3 linked regions of the Drosophila melanogaster genome follow. The protein of the gene in region 1 interacts with the protein of each later gene in a pairwise test. Each region holds a gene or a part of one and is shown in the gene's direction. Other genes may lie near its edges. The genes, in order: Spt7, CG12849 and Gsc.

Region 1 (3,753 bases):
GGTTCATGTAATGGAGTCGTGGAGGGGAGCGGGGGAATGAACGGCGACGGTACTAGTGGTGCGGGTGTTTCGCAGCCCCTCCAGGTTGGTCTGTCGTTGTTTCTCCATCGTCGTGTTTTCCGTGTGGTTTCATGTGCAGGACTTAATCCGAAGTGTGTGTGCTTGACTAGACGCCGAGGAAAGCTAGTGCCGGTATCAGGATCTACTCCAGTCCCAGCATCCAGTTGATGCCTTGTACTATGAAAAAGATGAGCGGCTGCCAGGCCACCAGCCAACGAATCCAATCCAGCAGGCGACCGTACAAAACGTGCGGCTTCTCCCAGCTAGAGGAGAAACAATATTAAGTAGGCCAGTCAAACGGATGGCTCTGAATGGCTTACGGATTGCGGAACATCTTCTGGAGATCGACCTTTTCCTTGCAGTAGGGACACGTCTGCTTCTTGCCCACAATGCACCAACCACGTATACAGAACTCGTGGAATACGTGGTTACAAGACAACTTGTAGGTGTTCTCAATGACGCCCTCTTCCTTCTCCGAGACCAGCAACTGATTGCCACACACTGCGCAGACATTCTGATCAAGATGTCGTGTTGGAATACCCTGAGGTGTGTAGTACTGTGGGACAAACGGGAGGGTTAGAAGATTCCAACTGGGTATCTGGCCAATGGTCAACTCACGCCAATAGCTGCCGCCATCTTATCCGAACATATCTCGGATATATCACGCCCCAGGACGCCGATGTACAGGCCGTAGAAGCAGAACATCAGGCCCACATCCATCCATGTGTTTGGTGGCTGTGAGAACATGTAATTCATGCCCAGAAAGGCGGCTATGATCACCAGATAGCCCACCAGGCCAAGGCCATAGCTGAGCTTGTAGATGAAGTAGAACCACTTGTAGACCAGCCTGAAATTGGATTTTATGGGTTATTATCTGGCCTTCGTCGGTCGCCGTTCTTATCTACGTTGACTCACCTAGGCGTTGTGCCCTGGATGGGCTTGCTGATGGCCCGTCGCATAACCAGTGCCGTGATGCAGGTGAACACCAGCCAGATGATTATGAAGCGCAGCCAGCCGAAGCTGCAGGAGATGATCAGCGGAATGAGCCACATGGCCAGCAGGGTGACGAAAGCGTAGGATCTGTAGTGCCGCTTCTTCCACTCGACCAGGATGATCTGGGCAATAACCAGGGTGACGAACAGAATGATCACCATCTCGGAGTGCATGGCATCGTGGCCGCGATGTTTCTCCACCATCAGTTGATGCTGCGCTCTGTTCGATTGGATAGCCGAAAATTTGTTATGATTTAAAGGATTTTCTAAGGCCACTTCACTTACCGCATTCGCTCCTCCGGCGTCATTTCGTCCAGGGACTGATGGACATCCGCATTAGCAGGGAATTGCAGGGAAGAGGGAAAATTTGGCAGTAGAGTGGGGCTTCCTATTCGATTCCCATTAGAAAAGACTCACCTTGTTCAAGTCCACGGGCTCATGCAGGTCCATGTGCTCCTGGTGCATCTTATTGCCGTTGTATCCGCCGTATCCCGCTGCCGCCAATCCGCCGGACAGTCCCACTCGTCGTCTGCGTCGCTGCGTTATCTTGCCCACCACGTATTGCGATCGGTTTTTACCTTTGAAATTCGTGAAACGAAAACAAATAATTACATTTTATGCCTGTGTGCTTGTCCAGCTGCAGTGGCGTTGCCATTTGTCACAGCGGCCGAAAAAACGAATACATGTATGTGTGACGTGAGCCACAAAAATACAAGCGCGACCTGATTGTTAGAACCAGCTGTCCTGAGTATGGGGTTTTTCCCAAATTGTTGCTATTTTATCATAACCTTTATTTACTTTAGCTACGACAGCGCTTTCTGATTATCGAAAACGAAACGTTCGAGGCCAACGTTGCCAGATGCCGCTGCAGGCCGTGCCGATGTTTACCGACAATCAGCTGTTTGGTTCAATGAGTTGAGTATTTCGTTCCCAGCGCAAGCAAACTTATCGATAGTCCCGATAACCAACCATGTTATTTTAGGGCCCGATAAGTAAACAACAATATATTGTTAAGTAAATGTTGTACGTAGGTTTTTAAGCGAAATAAACATGCAAACAGAGCACTGGGGCTCGCTGCCCGCAGAGGATGACGGCGGTCAACTGACGCCGGACAAATACGTGCCCACGGCGGCCAAGAAACTTAAGCTGGACGAGATTCGCCAGCGCGGAGATCCGCAACCGCAAGAAAAGCAGTAAATAAATCTAAAGAAAAGCTTTAACGCAGCCGGTAAACTAACCATATATTCCATGTAGCCACAAGTTGGAGCTGAGGAGTGCGCTGGTCACCCAGACCATCGAGGTGATGAAGCAAACCGAGGTGCTGCAGTCCCTCATTGAAACGTACTCCAACAAAAATGCAAGTTCTTGGTTCTTGTTTAACCGTAGTATTTACCTAATTTACCCAATGAATTCATAGGGAAGTTCCAATTACCTCTTGAATCCGTGCCTAATGATACCGGAAGTGGACTTTCCGCCGGAGAACGCAGCCGAACTGGTGGGCAGCCAAAAGTTTCAGAAGCCCATTTGGTTCACACCAACCGTGGACACAGCCTACTCTCGCGGGGATCCGGAGGCATATCCGGAGATCCCCAGCTCTGCTTGCCGCCAGGCGATGCGCAAGGTGATGTGCGGCATGCTGCGCCTGGCCGGCTTCACCGACTGTTCCGAGTCGGCGGTGCAACTGCTGACGGACGCCACCGAGGAGTTCCTGCGCAGCTTTATCGGCGAGTATCGCGGCTACTATGACAGTCAGCCGCGGCTGCAGAATTCCACGGTGCTGCAGCTGGTCCCACTGGAGCGCGCCCATTTCGCCCAAACGGGCACCTCGCTCACCCAGGTGCACAACTACTACAAGCACAAGGTGCTGGCCAGGAATCGCGCGGAGATCGCTGAGTTCAACAGCGTACTGCAGGAGTACGACAAACTGATGAAGGAGAGCCAGAGCAGCATGCAGAAGCAGCACAACGAGTTCAACGGCCACGACTTTCTCAACATCCTGGACAACAGCGCCACAGGCAGCAGCCAGAGCATAGGCGGCATGGCCATGGGCGATATGCTGCAGGATCTGGGCGGTAGCACGGGCTCCAGTGGCACAGTCAGCTCCCAGCAGATGCTGTACGGCCTGCTCGATGGCCAGATATCGTCCAATACCTCCAACATGACGGGGACGAGCGGCAATGGCAGCACGGGCGGCAATGGAAATGGCAATGGGGCCACGATTAGCAACTTTCACGCCACTTTTGAAACGTAATTGTTAAAATTGCGGGGATAACTTCATTATCTCACACTGAGATATCTCTAGCAATCAAATGTTTCACACTTTTTATAGAACGACTAAGATCTCTAGGCTCAAGTTAAGTTAAGCTCTAAGGAAACGTACTAATTAAATAGTTTTTATTACGTGTTTTGTTTATTGCTCATCTTTTTGCTAATCCTCGACTCGTTCCAGTTGTTTTGTCGCCTCCGCTTGGTGAACTCGTTGGTGGGTTCAATGGCCACAAGTTTGGTTGCATTCGGATCGCTGGCTCTGTACTGGAACACTTTGTCGTGGCGCGTCTTTTTCTGGGCCCACGCCAGCAGGTCCCTGCCTTCCAGTATGGAGTTGCCAGTGACCACCACAGAGTCCAGAGCTTCGGGCGCGGATTGGTCTTCTTCGGGGGTCCGTCTCCTTATGTTAGGTTTCTTTTTCGGACCTGCAGGA
Region 2 (3,342 bases), on another chromosome or scaffold:
AATAAATAAATATACAAAGTATTTCTGATCTGCTGCTAAATCAGAGAGCTTTGCGCCCACTGAGCAACCTCTGTGGGAAGGGCCTGGTATCGCTGCATACAGTGGTGAATCTGGCTGTATGTCAGCGCCAGCTTATGCATCTCAAACTCTTTCTGCACCTTACCTACGCCCCCTCCAGCTCCACCGGTGAGCGGCATGATCAGCTCTGCGATGCGTAAATGCTCGAAGGCCTTCAGGACAATGGACCGCTCCACGGCCTGCATTGTGGTGGACACTTTGGCAAACTTGGAAAAGCGCGCGTAAATGATCTCGAAGTTGAAGGAATCGCGATCGTAAATCTGCGAATGGTGCTTGATGGCGATGATCAGGCACAGCTCTAGGACTGAGAGCCCGCAAAGCAGCTCTATCTTGTCGTCGCCCTCAAACTGTGATCCCACTGCAGCCATTTTTTCGGCTGTGATGTGGGGAGATTGCGGTCGGAGATGTGCCACCAGGCGGAATAGGAAGTTCTTGAGATAGGCCTCGCTAATGTCGAAGTCATGGAGCGCTTGGAGGGTGCTTCTTGCCTGCTGAGTGGCCAGGACTTTGCATATTTGCTTGTTCCAGGCATCGCGTAGTCTGGGCGAAAAGCCGTACTCCCCGGGGTCAAAATGGTTGCGGGAGAAGTAAAGTGCCCCCGACTGGATGTTTTGTAGGTTATAGATTTTCTCCGCCGCCAGCAACAGTGAATTGCCGGTCGGGAGGGACAGTAGATCCCTGCACAGGTCAACGTAATCCTCAAAGCGCCGCAAGCTGGGAAAGAGAAAGACCTGCCGGTGCGAGAAACGCGACTTGACCCGCTTCTCCAGCAGCTCGATCACGTCGAGGCGACAGGTAACGCCAAGTACACAGATGGGCGCCTGGGCTGACTGGGAGACGTCGAAGAGGTTGTAGAGCAGGGTCTGGTTGTGGTGAGCACAGAAGAGGTCGAACTCCTCGAGAATAAAGATCACGCTCTTGGAATGCTTGCCACCCGCCTTGAGGCATTGCAGCAGGAAGGCGAGGTTCTCGGCGAACGATCCGAACACTTTCCCATCCGCAGCGTTCTCCAGCTGCATCTGCACAGTGATGGACTTCAGGGCCACTCGGTCGTCCGTGTGCAGATTACCGTCCAGGTGGACGATGAGAGTGTTTTCCCCGAACGATTTATTGGGCAGCAAATCGGCCAGCACGGAGTTGATGAGCTAAAGAATTTGAAAGCATAGATTACTGGATTGGTTTCCCGGTAAGGCCTGCACTCATACCGTTGTCTTTCCGGATCCCCGCGGCCCAAGGAGCAGCAAGGAGTTGGATTCCCCCATTTCAGCTGTGCGTTGCAGCAATAGGCGCACATTGGACCGCTCCTTTGCGTAGCCCCTCAAGGTGGTGTAGTCTCGCTGGAGGCGCTCCTTCAGGAAGCGCCTGATGCTGACCAGCTCCCTATCCGCCTCCGGCATTTTCGCTCTCGGATCGGAACTCCTTTATTCCTCCTTATTTATTAGTTAAATGGACGCACAGATAGTTTGGATTTCTGCCAGTAATTAAGTCGCGCCAAAAAACGTCAACAATGCATTGGGGATGGAACAAAACCGATATTGGTTCATTTAATGTACGGTGGTTTGGAACTCTGATACTACTCAGTGTTGCCTTAAGCCGCCTGAAAAATATATTCGTGCCACAAACCAATACGATCTAATTTCTGCGGCTTTAGCACATTTTGAAATATCAACATTTTAGTTCATACAAAATGGACCTACGATTGAGGAATATGTACAATAGTAACTCTATAAATAACAATCAATTATACATATAAACATCTTTAAAAATATGAACAAATTTCTTTATTAATCGCATAGTCGTTGGCATTTTGAGGGTCAATTTGCTGGAATAGGTTTATTTGGAATGCTGTGTATTTTAAATGTCCATTAAAATAAGTTATTAAACACTCAATGGATTCTCAGAGATTATTTAATATCGGCTGGCAATTTCATAACAGCAATGGATCGAGTAATCACAATTAATAACTTTTGGAATGCTTCAGCTTTTGGCACTCGGTATTGTGGTTATTGTGATCCAGACCTCTTTAGGAATGAGCGGATTGTGGACTTTTCTGCTGATTTTTATGTCTCCGATGGCAGTAAGAATCGAATGCGTATGGCTAATAGATGGCACTATAGAATAATTGATATCCAAAGATCCGAGGACACTTCGAATTCAATAATGTAGTCTGCCTCGTGCGCGACAGGATGTTTATGGACTTTGAGTACTGTTACTTGAAGTCCGTGAACCGCACCTACAAGTACCTTTCGCTAAAAACAAAGATGTTCCGCCTGCCCGTCGACAACTGCGAGGTAAGAGTATAGAACTGTGTCGGTCTCACACCACCCGACCATCTTCCAGACCAGATTCCAGCTGAGGATGCGCGAGAACAGGCGAGTCCTGTACAACTTTGATTTCAAGGTGGACTCCTGCAAGTTCATGCGCGACCGCAAGCACGTGATCGCCAACTGGGTCTACCAGACCTTCGGCCCCTACTCGAACCTGAACCACACCTGCCCCTACGACGTGAGTGAGCGTTGCCATGTTCATGCCGCATAACCTTCGCCTTTCTCACCCACCCACCCACAGCACGACATCGTGCTCGACAAGCTTCCCGTGCAGCATCTGAACAAGCTGGTCCAGTCGATCATCCCCGATGGCAGATACATGATGAACAGCACATGGATGGTCGCGGGCATTCCGCGCACCGATGTCATCCTATACTTTACCAAGAGCTAAACAGTCAAATCCAGTAATATCCAGGCTCTTCAACCCGTAAGCAGAAATATTGGTAAGGTGTTATGCCGTTTTAGTATTGGATGGGGGTCAGCAGGACCAATATAGTAAATATAGTAAGTCTAAGTGGGTCTGTATGTGATGTATTTGTCACATTACTGAGATTTACGAAAATAAATATAGTGTAGTGACGAAAGTTAACTTAAACATGTACATAGGTTTCAGACTAGGCCAGTTCGTAAGCGTTAACAATTATGTGCAGAGTTTCTGCACAGGTGGCTGGCAGTGACCTGGATGCACTGCACCTGTCGTCTGTCAAGTGGCTGCTAATGCGATTAGGGAGCACACAGAAAACGGGATTGGCACTCGGGACTGGCAACTCAGCTGCCAATCAGGTGGGCCAGCCACAAACTTCACACATTTCGGACACATATATCAATCCACTCCACAACCAGAAGGACACGAAGTAAAGTAAACACAACCCCACACCCCTGACAAGATGCCGGCGGACATAGTGACCACGGAGCAGCTGCGCTACCAGCTCGCCTT
Region 3 (3,753 bases), on another chromosome or scaffold:
TTTTTTATTTAAAATTCAATCTGCGAACTAAAACAAAAAGTGCACAGCAAGTGGGGAAAGAATTCAGGTCAGAGGTCAGAGTAGGTAGAAAAGGCAACAAAAAGTTTCATGTGAAAAAACAAGTTGAACAAATTCTGTGAGGAAAATAATAGAAAAAAGTGCGTCACATCTTTTGAGCTTAGCGAGAAGCGCACTCCCAGAGCTTCCTCCTCTTTTTCCATTCTCAACTCAATATTTCCTTTACATTTACAACATCGTCATCATCGGTTTTCCCGTCGGGAGTTGTTGGCCATGTAAGAAGTTCAGTGTAAAGGCAAATAGCGAAGCCCAGAGAAAACTGGGCGGCAGGATCCACTAAGAATCGGAGGGGAAAGAGGACCAGAAATATCCTGGTCCTGCGGTCCTTGGCCTGCTTAATTATTCAATAATTTCTAAAAGCATTTGGCCACATGCGACGTCATCAGCCGTCATCCTTTCATCCTTTTACGGCATGTGACAGGACCGCCCCTCTTCTTCCGTGCGCCCCCGTAATCAGTTGAACACATATACCCCCAACACACACTAAAACATCTGCATTTATGTAAGCCTCCCTCCCTGGACCCCTCCTCTTTGTCCATCTTAGTACACAGAGCGATTTGGGTGCCCTTTAAATACTTTCTTATTATTTAAAGATATTTCGAAACCACCCAATTTAGTAGTCAGTGTTGATTGATAATTTATCAGGAACGCCTCGTCTTCCATGATTCTCCTAGCAGAATTAAGTTTAGTTAGTATGTAAAGATGGACCTTACTTGGGAATTATTTCTCCAAGTGATCCCCATTTTTCACCCCCACATAGGTGACATTGTAAGGACTTTTCGGTTCATTTGCTTTTCCTGGCTGGATTTCCATTTGTGATTGTGGGTGTGGTTTGCAGAGTTGCATTTATCATTAGTCGTAGCTTAGCTTTTGTTTTCCTGCATTCGAGTGGACGAGGAGGGGGGGCATATCTAGGGAACGAACCCTGGCGGCCATTGGGGATTTTGCACTTGGGCATGTTTGATGTGGAAACTTTAGATTAAAATATTTTCCTATGCACACACACGAGGTGAAACAATAGCGACGAGGGTCACCAAAGTGCCGTAGATTATTGAATGAGCGCTCCCAGTCTCCCTCCAGTGTAAGCTTCATCTTTATGTACGAGTAGTAGCGTGCTTCTTTCTACATAAAACGTTCACCCCTTAACCCTTTTCAAGCTCCCAACGTCTGCAAGAATGATGATAAAGATAAAGCTCAGAAAGGGAGAAAGAGCAAGAGCAGCGCTTCTCCGTGGGCGGATTGAGCGCATAATGATGTTTATGTGTTGCCAGAAACATAAAAGCATTAATTTAGTCATTATCTTCTTAAGATACGGCGCCAGCAGAGGCAGTGGAGTATCAGAATCCCCTGAACGCGAGAAGAGAGCGTCAGGCTTTTTGCCACCCATAATTTCCATCAGCATTTTTATGCTACCCCTGCTACTCACTCTGAGTGAAAGCGAGAGAGCTTCTGTTGCCATATCCTGCGCACCCGCTTCCCTTCTCTATCGCTCCCTCGACAGCTATCTCTTTCTGTGGGGGCCGCGGGGTCTGTCAGTGATGACTTTATCTGTATAAATAACTGTCAGTGGCCAAAGAAAGTAAGTAGAGAGCGCAAAAATACAAAAAAATACATGGAAGCATTGGTGTGAATTGGGTGGAAAAGGAGGGGTCTGGTGAATGGGGCATTATCTCTGTAGCGCCATCTTTATCCTGGACCTCCTGCCAGCCTTTAACCTGGAACACTGCAAGATGGGGGCCCGACACCATCAACCACCACCAGCTAGAGCGAGAGAAAGAGATACAGAGGGAAAGCAAAAAAGGGAGGGAGGATACAGAGAGAGGGAGAGGCGTCCAAAGCCAGAGAGTATTGCCAAGCAATATGGTAGCGTTGAGGGCGTGGCTTCACCCCGATTTCATTGGCCAACGTCGAAAAATGTCCGCTAAACGAGAGAGCAGATGTGAGTTTGTATCTGGCATCTGAGAGTCTGTATCTATATCTGTCGAGGAACTGGCCTAACGACTACTCAATCGACAACTTGTCGGGCGGAACGCTCTCACAACACTTTCGCAGCTCGAGCGGACAAGAAGGGTTCCCGGTGGCAGAAAACCTGTGGAAATAATAAAATATAAAATCACGACGCGATTGCAGTGCGTGTTTCTAGTGCGGTTTAGTGAACTTGGCATCGATCAAAACACACTAATCCAGTGAAAAAAACCTAGACTTAATATTCGCAACATTGCCACCATTACTGAATTAAAAAAAATTGTAAAGCGCTTAGTGCTTCAAAAGTGCCGCTTCATTAAAAAAAAATCAGTGGGGAAGAGACTTTTTCCTACTCGAAAGCTTCATAGACTTCTTCAAGATTCTCTCCTCACTGTGGACCCCTGGAGGAGGCGGTGGAGGCACCACCACCACCACTCCCAGCACCACGCCCGACATTCCGCCCTCGAAGGCCAAGTTCAAGATCACCGTCGTGAGCACGCCCAGCCCCTCCCCGCCGCCTACGCCCCCTCCGGCTGGATCTATGCTGGCACAAATGGTAGAGACAAATTCCCCGCCGGCGGGTTACACCCTCAAAAGGTCGCCCAGCGATCTCGGCGAGCAGCAGCAGCCTCCAAGGCAGATCTCGCGATCTCCTGGCAACACGGCCGCCTATCACCTGACCACCGCCATGCTCCTGAACTCGCAGCAATGCGGCTACTTGGGCCAGCGATTGCAGTCGGTCCTCCAGCAGCAGCACGCCCAACACCAGCAGTCCCAAAGTCAAACTCCGTCCTCCGATGATGGCAGCCAGTCAGGTGTCACCATTCTGGAAGAGGAGAGAAGAGGAGGAGCCGCCGCCGCGTCTCTCTTCACTATCGACAGCATTTTGGGCTCTCGCCAACAGGGTGGAGGCACCGCTCCAAGCCAAGGCAGCCACATCAGCAGCAATGGCAACCAAAATGGACTCACCTCGAATGGCATCAGTTTGGGTCTGAAAAGAAGTGGCGCCGAGTCCCCAGCCTCGCCAAATTCAAACTCCAGTTCTAGCGCAGCCGCCAGTCCCATCCGACCGCAGAGGGTTCCTGCCATGCTGCAGCATCCTGGCCTGCATCTGGGTCACTTGGCGGCTGCAGCGGCGAGCGGTTTTGCCGCCTCTCCCTCGGATTTTTTGGGTAAGTCTATCAATCCCCCTATACTGAACGCACAAGCCCCCTCAGCTGAATTTCATTATGAAGACAACTTAAGACGAAACCAGTTCAAAGGATGGTTCTTTAGATAAAGAAATTTTAACATTTTGAAATACCTTATTTCATGCATCTAAACTCTGAAATCACCTTAAGGCAGCTCACTCATGCAGTCAGGAATCACCCATTCAGCCACTCACCCACTTTTATCCTGACATCCTCATCCTCTCCCACTCAACCGAACCACACCCATTCCGAAGCGAGTCCTGAATGGCATTATTCATAATTAGGCAATGATCCGTGAAAGATGATTCCGCATTTCCTCTCCATTTTCCTTCGATTTTGCGGTGAGAGGATTTGCATTGGGCTCTAAGTCTTAGCTTGGGCCGGAAAAACCAGGGAAATCCGGGATGCTGGGGTGGCTTTAAGATGGGCTCAGGCCTTGTGTTGATTCGAGCGTGGATCTCAGGCGCAGATTTATGCAGAATACCGCTTAAATTCATTCAAAGGCTCCCCCGCAGGACAT

The links.
Region 2: the proteins of Spt7 (region 1) and CG12849 interact in a two-hybrid assay, tested with the Drosophila melanogaster proteins (one large-scale study listed by BioGRID).
Region 3: the proteins of Spt7 (region 1) and Gsc interact in a two-hybrid assay, tested with the Drosophila melanogaster proteins (one large-scale study listed by BioGRID).

What each region holds. Positions count from the first base shown.
Region 1 is NC_004354.4:17,848,439-17,852,191, forward strand, and holds Spt7 (Spt7), read left to right. Parts: upstream 1-2,021; 5' UTR 2,022-2,102; coding exon 2,103-2,245; intron 2,246-2,306; coding exon 2,307-2,409; intron 2,410-2,469; coding exon 2,470-3,303; 3' UTR 3,304-3,449; downstream 3,450-3,753. Other genes in the region: CG15814 (uncharacterized protein), read right to left, coding at 203-323, 381-616, 679-907, 976-1,272, 1,338-1,372, 1,470-1,517; CG32554 (uncharacterized protein), read right to left, coding at 3,450-3,753. UniProt on the Drosophila melanogaster protein: Component of the transcription regulatory complex SAGA, a multiprotein complex that activates transcription by remodeling chromatin and mediating histone acetylation and deubiquitination. The SAGA complex predominantly acetylates histone H3.
Region 2 is NT_033778.4:24,795,818-24,799,159, forward strand, and holds CG12849 (uncharacterized protein), read left to right. Parts: upstream 1-2,107; coding exon 2,108-2,155; intron 2,156-2,213; coding exon 2,214-2,369; intron 2,370-2,418; coding exon 2,419-2,583; intron 2,584-2,646; coding exon 2,647-2,796; downstream 2,797-3,342. Other genes in the region: Orc4 (origin recognition complex subunit 4), read right to left, coding at 36-1,223, 1,284-1,475; CG3611 (uncharacterized protein), read left to right, coding at 3,293-3,342.
Region 3 is NT_033779.5:593,050-596,802, reverse strand, and holds the start of Gsc (goosecoid), read left to right. Parts: upstream 1-2,117; 5' UTR 2,118-2,422; coding exon of another isoform or gene 2,423-2,596; coding exon 2,597-3,215; intron 3,216-3,753.